Solanum lycopersicum: one gene and its partners. The protein of the gene in region 1 interacts with the protein of each later gene in a pairwise test. Links are inferred from orthologs where the notes say so. Each region holds a gene or a part of one and is shown on either strand. Other genes may lie near its edges. The genes, in order: B3 domain-containing transcription repressor VAL2, thioredoxin reductase NTRC and scarecrow-like protein 23.

Region 1 (3,757 bases):
AAGCATGATGTCATTGTAGTATTAGGATATAGCACGCGTAGAAGAAGTAATCAATTAGGGGATTGAATAAACTAATTTTGATTTGTTTACTTATCTGTTTAATTACGCAATGATGATTAATCTTAGTTCTAATCTTATCGTACACACTAAGCCAAAAGAACCATACTTGAAAAGCAAAGTGGATTTTTGTCCTTTTGATTAGGACTCCCACTTCCTAAATGAGCCATTTGTTTTATTGCACCGTTTTTTATTTTATTTTATATGAGTTAGTTCGAATCGGTAGAAAATTTTTAAATGAAAAGAAAACTTTTGAAATTTATTTGAGATAAGTGATATTTCTTGTGTTTAAAAAAAAAAGATTTTATTTTCTTCTTAATCTGTTTAAAAAAGAATGTTTCGTTTTTTTTTTTACAATAATTTAACTTTAACTTTCCATGTGACATATTTAAGACCACAAGATTAAAGAACATTTTGATATATTTGACATAACTTTAATTTAGAACCACAAGATTAACAAGTCTTCTTTCTTTTCTTAAATTTCATTATAAGTCAAACTAGGTCATCCTTTTCGTTAATATCCTTTTTTTAACGAAGAGAGTAGATATTTGTGTTGTTATAAGTTATTTTATAAAAAGTAAAATAAATATTTTAATGTTAAATTGTTACTTGCTATATAAACATGTCATTCTTGTTTGAGGTAACTAAAAAGAAAAATAAATCAAATTTAGAGAAAAATGTACAAAACACTTTTTTTATTAAAAAACTCGTTTAAGACCCTTTTGTAGAGCTTTCATTAAAAAACCCGTTTAAGACCCCTTTGTAAAGCTTTCAAATTTCGTACTTACTTTTTAAGGGGAGTTATTTTCTAATCGATTTTAAATTGTGAAAAGTTGATTATTACTATTTTTTCAAGTTATTTTCTTTCACACACAAAACTTCTCTACACTAATAACAACAACAACGGAGATTCTAGAAAAGATATAATGTATGCATGTATCATCTTTTACCTAAAAATAGAGATATTATTATGGATTAAAGTACATGAAATATTATACAAACAAGATAACTAATGGTAACAAGACAATGATTATAATTGAATCATGTGATGACCAAAAATATAAGATAATAAGTAATAAAAATCAAAGAACTAGAAATTACGAGTGCAACACTAACTACTAATATGAACAGATGATAAAACAACACACGATGACCTTCTAATTTTCTATCCTAATTTGTGTCCTCCCTAATCTTTCTACGTAAGATCCTAAGCATCTATTTCCAGCCCTCATCAACACACGTCCATTCATACACATTCATTTCTACTATTTTCTCGTTTTATCTCTGTTTATATAAATTATCTATAGCCAATCACTCACACATCCACACTAGAACATCAAAACATATCACTTTCAAATGTTCAAAATTATCTCGATCTTTAACTTCCGCACCAAAGCCACTTCCAAATGTACCTATTTTAATCCTATCTCTTCTAGAACAACGAGAGAGGTTACAACATAGTTGGTCTTAACTATTACTTTGCATTTAGTCACAAAACTTGTATGTTTTTGATCAAATTATATAAACATAAGCTTTCTTTTCAATGTTCAAAAGAAAAGCTGATATGATAAAGTGAAAAAGAAATTGAGCAGAGAGAGACGTTAGTGGAAGAAGAACTGAAAGAGAAAGGCGGGCGACCTTTGCTGACCCTTCAAGTCTCTCCCTCCCTGCATGTCCCCTTTTCCATTTTTGAACTGTTTTACACTTTACGCTTCTCTCTCTCTCCCAATTCCACCGTTCCGGTACCGGAAATTCAACAAACTTCCCTAATATTTCTCTATCACAAATTTTAAAACAGACCCACAAACACTGCAGCTTACTAGCTTTAGTTTTATGTCTTTAACTTTTGTTTTCAAGATTCTTGCTTCACACTTATTATTCAACTATTTCATACTTGGGTTTTTCTAAAGACTTCATTTTTAGCTTTAAAAAAAAACTTTTTTTTTTTTGGGTTTTGCGTATGGAGTATTAAGAGGAAGATTATGCTGTATTAGGGCTTGATTAGAGGTAAGGATTTTAGGAATGGAGTCGAAGATTTGCATGAATGGACTGTGTGGGACAACTTCTTCAATTGAGTGGAAAAAAGGGTGGCCTTTGCGATCTGGTGAATTTGCGACCCTCTGTGATAAGTGCGGGTAATTCAATTCAGATCTCACTCTCTCTTTATACTTAATTTATATATGTTTGTAAATTCAGTTTTGTTGTTCTTTTTGTTTTGTAGAAACTGGTTTGCCTAGTGCTCAACTCTGTTTGATCATTTTATATGATAACATTACCATTTAGAATGTCAAACAGTGATTTTTCATTGTAAAAATGTTCTGACTTATATACTCTTTGTATAGGTTTTGAATTTGCTTATTTTATTCGAGAAAAGATTAAGGAATCAATGTCCTACTAATTGAGATGGTTTGAAATTTGTTTATTGAGCTGATTGTTCTTTTTTGAAACGGAAGAAGTATTTACAATCTGAACAGTTTCTGTGTTTATGTTAAGGTTACTGTGTTGGTGAATACTGTAGCAGCTCGGAGAATTATCCTTTTTGTTTTGCTGAAAGATATTTGCTAAATCATGTTCTTTTATCCGACTGTTCTTTAATTCGACTAAACAATTACTTTACCTTTTCAAATTAGAGATTGCATATTCAATTTGAGAGAATTAATTCTATTGGGATAATATGTTCCTAGTCCAGTTCATGCACCCTAGTAATGGTTGCTCAAACTGACTCTAGTTCTGGAAAGATTAAAGATCCTGCAAGATCAAAATGTGGGAAAGATAATCCTTCTTCTTTCTGTTTCACTTGTTGTCTTTTAGGAAGTCAGTGCAGATTAACCTGCTTACGTTCTCCTAAGGATTTGTATTATCTGTGATTCTTGCTGTGTCATAGGGAGGTTTTTCTTGGCTGAGATCAGGAGCATGGGCTTATGATCTAAGTGAGGCCGTTGAAGCGAGCCAGAATTTTTAATAAGGGGGTTCAGAATCTGAAGAAATAAACACATGAAGTAGCCGAAGGGGGTTCGACATCTATCGTATATACCTAAAAATTTATTTTAACCATGTAACAATAATATAATTTTCCGCCGAAGGGGGTTCGGATGAATCCCTAGTGATAAGGTGGCTCCGCCCCTGTGTTGAAGTGATGGCATAACTTTTTTTTTCTTTCCAGAATTGTCTATTTGGTTCCATGTTAAGTTACTGTGGAGCAACTTTGTCTTTTTTTGCTCTTTTTGGCCTTTATATGAAATAGAGATTGCATGCAGTGATTTCACTTACAGTAAATAATACAGTGCTGATGGAATGAAACTATTTTATTATTAATATTTGTTATTTTTTTCCCTTTTGTTTTGTTTTGTTTGTTTGTTTTACTTCTGTTATTTTTCTGTTTATCTTTTGTTTCTTGGTCAGGATAGATGACTGGTAGTTAAATTCATGATAAACTTAGATCTTTTGCAATCTACCGCCTGCATTGCCGAAAGGAAAAACATTCACTTTAACTTTGGAATAAAATGTAGCTAATGACAGTTTCACCATAAACTGAAAACTGAAACTAATGCAGAGTCTTAGGGCATCCAGTTTGAGAAATTATATCTGGAACGCTTCTAGTGTAGACACATTTGCATAAAACTTATTGATGCCAAAGCAATTCCTGGTATAGTCGATGTAAGCACAAGTTGAATCGGACACCACTATTATTAAAAAAATA
Region 2 (3,757 bases), about 2.9 Mb from region 1:
TTCTTCCATGAAGCGTGGAAAATTCAATTGGAATTGGCTCGTGCTGCAGCAAGTGAAGACCCATTCACCAGCAGACTTACCAAAATGATGCAAGAGATGTTTGATAATTATTGGAAGAGCTGTTGCTTAATGTTGGCTATTGCTGTAGTAATGGATCCACGCTTCAAAATGAAACTTGTGGAGTTCAGTTTTTCCAAAATATATGGAGAAGAAGCAGCCGCTTATGTGAAGACTGTTGAGGAAGGAATCCATGAGCTCTTCAATGAATATGTGGCTCTTCCTCTACCCCTAACCCCAACTTATGTTGAAGAAGTAAATGGCAGTGGTATGAGGCAGGAGGATGGACAAGGCCTCGACGCTTCTTGTAACGGGCTTGGACTTACTGATTTTGACGTCTACATTATGGAGACTTCGAGCCAGCAGTCAAGGTCAGAACTTGATCAATATCTGGAAGAGTCCTTGCTGCCTCGTGTTCACGAGTTTGATGTGGTGGGTTGGTGGAAGCTCAACAGAATTAAGTACCCAACTTTGTCAAAAATGGCTCGTGACATCTTGTCAGTTCCTGTTTCAACAGTAACGGCTGATTCTATATTTAGCACAGTTAGCAAAGAGATGGATCACTACAGGTGTTCCTTGCGTCCTGAGACCGTGGAGGCCCTCATCTGTGCCAAGGACTGGCTTCAGAATGCATCTTTAGACACTTCACCTATACCAATAAAAATGGAAGTTCCGATTTAGGTCTTGGTTATGTGAAATACTTGTCTAGAATATAGCTCTATTAGCCATATTGATGTTTTCTTTAAGACTATTAACATTCGTCGAGTCGTCTGAGAATCAACTTTCTTGTATCATAATTTGGTACCTCTAGTCTTACTGGAGAGTTTAGTCCCCATTTTCAGTCTCTTTATTTACTCATTGATGTCTGAATTCTGAATGCATGAAAATCAGCTTACTGGTGCATGATATGAATATGTTGGTATAGTTATGCTGCTCAAATGACTTGTACTTTCTTTCATTCTTCTGTGTTTTGTCTTCTTTTCTGGTCTCCCCTTCGTAGTTTGGAGGCGGTGGGATGTATTAAGATCTTAACAATATTTTTGTGTGGCAAAGAGATTGCTTCTTATTGATCCGCCGGTTAAATTTATTTATCTTAGAAATCAATGATCCAAATAATTTACATCGTGTATTTATCTTTAAAATTTTCAATTTTTGACACTGAAAAATGAAGTGCAACTTTTAAAATTTATCAGAAAAATTATATTTTTTGACAAACAATAAGTAAAATACAAAGCAAACAATACTTAATGTTGGACAAACTTGTTGCCACACATTTTCTCACTGGAAAACTATGTATTACACTTTGAATACAAAATATCATTTGGTTGTTTGGATAATATTTTTTCTTCAGAGGACCAAAAACAATGAACTTTGATAAAATTACTTATATAGTTCTTTTTTTTTTTGGAAAAAAATAAAATAAAAATTATAGTTCGTTGAGTGGTTATCCTCACCCCATAAAATTACGAATAAATCTCACACACACGGCACAAATCCAAAGACAAAACACACAGATGTGTGTGTAAGTGTGTGAGAGAGAAAAGGGAAAATAGTTAGTTGAAACAAATTTGTGTCAGCTGTAGAGATATCTACGTTCCGAAACCAATGGCTAATACTACTCCCAATATTACAAACTCCGTTGGTATCGGAATCCGAATCCGGACCAAAATCCGACCCGCATCCACTTCCATGGCGGCTACTCCGGCGGCTTTATCGACCGGTCACTGCATTCCGACCGGTTTGCTCGTTATCAACTCCGGTACGAGTCGACGGGGAGGAGCTGCTCGAGTTGACTCAGTTAATGGTCACTTGACTCGCAGCCGTGCGTCCTCGTTTTCGATTCGAGCTGCGGCGGAGGTGGAACCGGTCGGAACTAGTTCTTCAGGTAGACTTACAGTGTGCATTTCTGAATAAATAGTGTATTTTTTAAATTTGTTTTAGTCAATTAAGTGAATTAGGAGTGGTATGTTAGTTGATTGAATTGAAGTCGAGCATAAGTATTATCGAAATTCGGAATTGCATTTGAAATATAAAATGATGCTGGTTAATTTTGCAGCTGGAAATTGCTCTTTTGGGTTGATTTTGCAGCTGGAAATAGCTCATTTGTCAGCAGTTTATATGCAATTAGTTGTATAATTTTGAGAATACTGGTGTTTTTGTTTGTTCCAGCTCAGGGTATTGAAAACTTGGTAATAATAGGATCAGGTCCTGCTGGATATACAGCAGCAATTTATGCAGCTCGGGCTAATTTGAAGCCTGTAGTGTTTGAGGGGTTTCAAGCTGGTGGTGTGCCAGGAGGACAGTTGATGACAACAACTGAAGTAGAAAACTTTCCTGGATTTCCTGAGGGGATAACTGGACCTGACTTAATGGATAGGTATAAGAAAAGTTTTTGAGCATTTACTCTCATTAAGATATCTATTTGAAGTTTCCTTTTATAGACAAAAGTTTTGTTGAAGGCTGAGAAATTATGTAATTTTGGTAGGATGAGGCGACAAGCTGAGAGATGGGGAGCTGAATTGTATCAGGAAGATGTGGAATTTATTGATGTAAAGAATGCTCCCTTTACTGTCCACAGTAGTGAACGTAAGGTGATGCATCCTTTAGTTGCTGATTACTTTGTCTAGGTTATGTTATAACTGCTTAAATCTTTAATCCCCATCAAACTGTTTGCCTATTCTGAATTGGAGCATCTTTTAAAATTCCACGCAAGAACAATTCTAATATCTGATGTTTTAACAAATTTTATGGGGTAAAGAATATAAGGATGGCCATCATTTATCAAGACCCCAGCAATCTTTTTTTCTTTTCTTGAGTGTCACTTTTGAACTATTTAACAGTTCATGTATTTTTGTCAAGTTTGCAATATGTTCTCAAAACAGTGCCCAGAAAATTACAGGAAGTTAGATATAAACGTATGTATTCTCATTTGGAGTGAGAACTGAAAAGCTAAACAGATTTCAGACGTGTAATGGAAGAAGAGAAATAGATTCAACATTTTTCCTTTTCTTGGATAAAAAATATATTATGCTATTACATAGAAGGCATCTAAGCTCGTACTTTCTGGGTTTTCTTATTCTTCTAGACAGAAACATTTTCTTTCCAATAAAAATAATTCTTTTCAAAGTACAGAGACATTTTAACTACACCGGGACTTCTTTATGGGTTTACGTGTTTTCCATTCGGAAGTGGTTTGATTAAGTACAAGTATACAAGTCGTTTTCTATTTTTTTAGTATCTCTTTCCTTTATGAGATGTAAAAGATGCTGACATGGTAGAACAAGAGGCCTCACAATTTGCTGCATTTTTTAGAAAGATCAATTTGCTGCATTGTGTAAAGAACAATCTATATCTTCAGAGTACCTTAGCCATGATATAAGAGTCTGACGTGTTCTCTGTACCTTATGAATGAAAGAAGCATCTTCGATTTTGTTTTCCGTCTATAATCCCTCAATTCTCTGAGGTTCATCTGATACATGAGATGGTCATGAAACATACATCCATATTTGTGGTACCGGCACTCTTTTGATTCCCTCTGCAATAACAAAAGGGAAGGGCGTGTTTGTTTCATATGTTGTAAGAGATGTTGGGCTTGAAATGCATTAGTTCTTGCAGTCGCAGATGCCAAATTAATTCCTTAAACTTCTAGTTGTCTTACTCCCCTTGGTATGTAGTTCCCACATTAGGCTTCATATATTGG
Region 3 (3,511 bases), on another chromosome or scaffold:
TTATGTGCTAATATATATCACTAATATATGCTAATATCTTTAATTCATAAATTATTTATTTTTTGTCTATCCAAGATACTCTCTGGATTCCCCAATATTTTCCCAAACAAATCTTCGAGAATCCCAAGATATTGTACTAGATCAAGCTTGCCATACTTTTTCCCTTTGGGTAAAATAATAGTGACAAAGCAACGTGGGGCATTGAAGCTACTTGGAGTAACATGATAACTACTGTATTATATTTGTTTGCAAAATGGAGTATCGAAACAGACGTGACAAGCTACTACAAGCATTTCTTTACAAAATTTTCAGCAACTTTACACTTCATTCTTACGATTTATTTATTAAATATTTTCTAATTTAGTATCTTTTTTTTTAAAAAAATAAAAAGATAATTTTACTTGTTTACATAGACTTAATATTTTTGAAAAGTGTAGTGGATAATATATTTGAGATTTTATCTATTAATATGGGTAAGATGAATTCACTATCTAAATTAATGTTTTCTTAATATGTTTGTAAATTCATAATTCAAAAAATAAAAAATACAGGAGATTATTATTCATCATGTGGGGTTCATGACTTGTCCACATTGTGGCAGAGTTATATGATCCTAAAGGTCATAATTCAATTGAATTCCTTTATGAGAAAAATATATTAGAAAATAAACTAAAATTGTTTTTTATATATCAAAAACATAAATCCCTTAACATAAAATAAAAAAATGAATTTAGAAGTAGCTTAGCACGGTTCAAACTTAAGTTACTCAGTCCATCTCTAATTCACTATTTTATTCATTCGGTAGCAGATCTTTTACAATTGAGCAATTTGAATTAGCTCTGATTTGTTTAAAAAATGTTATTTGGGGACAATTCAGTATAAATTGATATAAATTTGATAACCTAAAGCATTCGTCATCATAAATTTCAAATAGTTGATGAAAAAAAAAAGTTGTTTGAAATTGACTGATTGTACAACTAGTTTTCAAATATGTGATGCCTCCTTTAAATTTGATAAAATTGCTTCACTCGAAATTCTATTATGAATTCTTCTATGTTTTTGAGTAAATATAAACCGATTCGCTAACATTTTTTTGTTTCTTGAATTTCCTATATTAAGGTTAAATATTACTCTAAAATTAACCCAAAAAAAAAAGTAAATTTATTTAAAACACCTAATAATCAAGAGGGAGAACATTTATTTCCAAGGAAACTATGTTTTTTCCCTTGGAAGAGATGTGAATATATTTATAACGATGAATGAGGGATTATAATAATGGTAGTACTAGTATTATTAATAGGAGTATAGTATTTTTATGATTGAGGAAAAATTCAAACACAAAAATACAAAAACCTCACTTCAATGTGTCCTACAAAAGATGAATAATTCCAAAAAGTCATCACCCTTTTTTTTCACAAATCCCCCTTTCAATTATCCTCACCACTCATTTTTTTATTCTACATTCTTTGCCATGTGATGTGATGAATGATCATGCTTTTCGTATCTGCAATTCCAATTAATCATACATCTTCGTATTCATCTTCCATGTCTTCTAAGCGCTCAATTTCTGAGTTTACTCCGGTCTCAGATGAACCTCAACTTCTTACTAAACGGCCCCGAAATGAAAGGGGAGAGGAAGAGGAAGAAGAAGGTGAGGAGTTACTTCTCGTTGACGCCGATTCCATAGGTCTTCGCCTTCTCGGCTTGCTCCTTCAATGCGCTGAGTTTGTTGCCATGGAGAATCTCGATGAAGCTGCTGATTTATTGCCGGAAATCGCTGAGCTTTCTTCGCCGTTCGGCTCATCAGCTGAGCGAGTCGCTGCTTACTTCGCTGAATCTCTATCGGCCAGAATTATCAGTTCTCATCTCCGATTTTATTCTCCGCTTAACCTCAAATCCCTAACTCTCACGCATTCCCAAAAACTCTTCACCGCTCTGCAATCTTACAACACAATAAGTCCGCTCATCAAATTCTCTCACTACACTGCAAATCAAGCTATCTACCAAGCATTAGAAGGTGAAGATCACGTCCACGTCATCGATCTCGACATCATGCAAGGTCTTCAATGGCCAGGATTGTTCCAAATCCTCTCCTCTCGATCGAGAAAGCTCCGTTCCATCAGAATCACCGGCGTCGGATCCTCCATGGAATTACTCGAATCCACCGGCCGTCGACTCACCGAATTCGCCAACTCATTCGGACTTCCGTTCGAGTTTCAACCTTTTGAAGGCAAAATCGGACACATCACAGACCTGAATCAACTCGGAGTCAAAATTGGGGAAACTACCGTTGTCAATTGGATGCACCATTGCCTCTACAATATCACAGGGAGTGATTTAGGTACTTTCCGATTGTTAACTTTGTTAAGGCCGAAATTGATCACACTGGTTGAACAAGATCTGAGTCACGGAGGAAACTTTTTGAGCCGATTCGTTGAGGCATTGCATTATTACTCCGCCTTGTTTGATGCATTGGGGGATGGATTGAGTGAAGAGAGTGCAGAGAGGCATAGAGTGGAACAGCAGTTGTTCGGTAGCGAAATTAGGAATATTGTAGCGGTAGGTGGGCCCAAGAGGACGGGGGAAGTACCCGTAGAGAGATGGGGCGATGAATTGAAACGAATCGGGTTTTTACCCGTTTCATTATCGGGTACTCCAGCTGCTCAAGCAAGTTTATTATTAGGGATGTTTCCGAGAGGGTATACGTTGGTGGAAGAAAATGGGTGTTTAAAATTGGGATGGAAGGATTTATCGTTGTTGACTGCATCTGCATGGCAACCTTGCGATTAAGATAGCCCATTTTTTGGTTGTTGTTTCAATTTGTAAGTTTTGGATGATGTTACAAATACCATAACAAATTGGACATACTAATAAGTGAAAGTGCTCTTTGTTCACTCTGGTCCTAATTCTGAGGAGGCCCCTACACATATGTATTTGTGTTTATCATTCTTGAAAATTTTGTTCTTTTAAGAAAAATAGTAATTGCATTGGATTAAAGAATTCTTGTCCTTTTCTTTACTAAATAATTGTGGTGGAAGATTCTATTTTGTCTGTTACATCCTCTCTATTAGACCTTACATTTCCTTAAAAAATATTTTAAATTAAAGATATATTTTATGATGGCTAAAAACTAAAAGTTCGACCAAAATAACTTTGAGAAAATGCTCTAAAATCTTTCAATTTATAGTCAGATTTTCAATTGGATACTCATATGTCACGGAGTTACATTACCTTCTAGGCTATTTTAAAATGGAGTTATTCACTCTCTAAATGCTATAGAGTGTGTAGTTCACTCTGTTGGAGAGATTGAGAGCAAAAACATTTTTTCAATTTATGCGAAACTTTTTATTTTTTGATAGTCAAATAGTTTAAATTTAATCAAAATTTTACGTATAAATTTTCAAATTTTTAAAAATGAATTTATATATTTATAAACTACAGAATAATTATTATAAGTCATAATAAATAATAATTCAAAACATTAAAAGCTAGACTTATTCAAATCTTGAAA

Evidence for each region.
Region 2: the proteins of B3 domain-containing transcription repressor VAL2 (region 1) and thioredoxin reductase NTRC interact in binary tests that used the Arabidopsis thaliana proteins (3 or more experiments, as listed by UniProt). The link is inferred for Solanum lycopersicum from reciprocal best matches to the Arabidopsis thaliana genes HSL1 and NTRC.
Region 3: the proteins of B3 domain-containing transcription repressor VAL2 (region 1) and scarecrow-like protein 23 interact in binary tests that used the Arabidopsis thaliana proteins (3 or more experiments, as listed by UniProt). The link is inferred for Solanum lycopersicum from reciprocal best matches to the Arabidopsis thaliana genes HSL1 and AT5G41920.

What each region holds. Positions count from the first base shown.
Region 1 is NC_090809.1:57,733,652-57,737,408, forward strand, and holds the start of B3 domain-containing transcription repressor VAL2, read left to right. Parts: upstream 1-1,205; 5' UTR 1,206-2,079; coding exon of another isoform or gene 2,080-2,101; coding exon 2,102-2,192; intron 2,193-3,757. UniProt on the Arabidopsis thaliana protein: Transcriptional repressor of gene expression involved in embryonic pathways, such as LEC1, ABI3, and FUS3. Repressor of the sugar-inducible genes involved in the seed maturation program in seedlings.
Region 2 is NC_090809.1:60,630,018-60,633,774, reverse strand, and holds the start of thioredoxin reductase NTRC, read left to right. Parts: upstream 1-1,380; 5' UTR 1,381-1,662; coding exon 1,663-1,942; intron 1,943-2,226; coding exon 2,227-2,434; intron 2,435-2,542; coding exon 2,543-2,648; intron 2,649-3,757. Other genes in the region: zinc finger BED domain-containing protein DAYSLEEPER, read left to right, coding at 1-738. UniProt on the Arabidopsis thaliana protein: Thioredoxin reductase (TR) that exhibits both TR and thioredoxin (Trx) activities. Contains a C-terminal functional Trx domain.
Region 3 is NC_090806.1:59,132,857-59,136,367, reverse strand, and holds scarecrow-like protein 23, read left to right. Parts: upstream 1-1,193; 5' UTR 1,194-1,485; coding exon 1,486-2,790; 3' UTR 2,791-3,000; downstream 3,001-3,511. UniProt on the Arabidopsis thaliana protein: Probable transcription factor involved in plant development.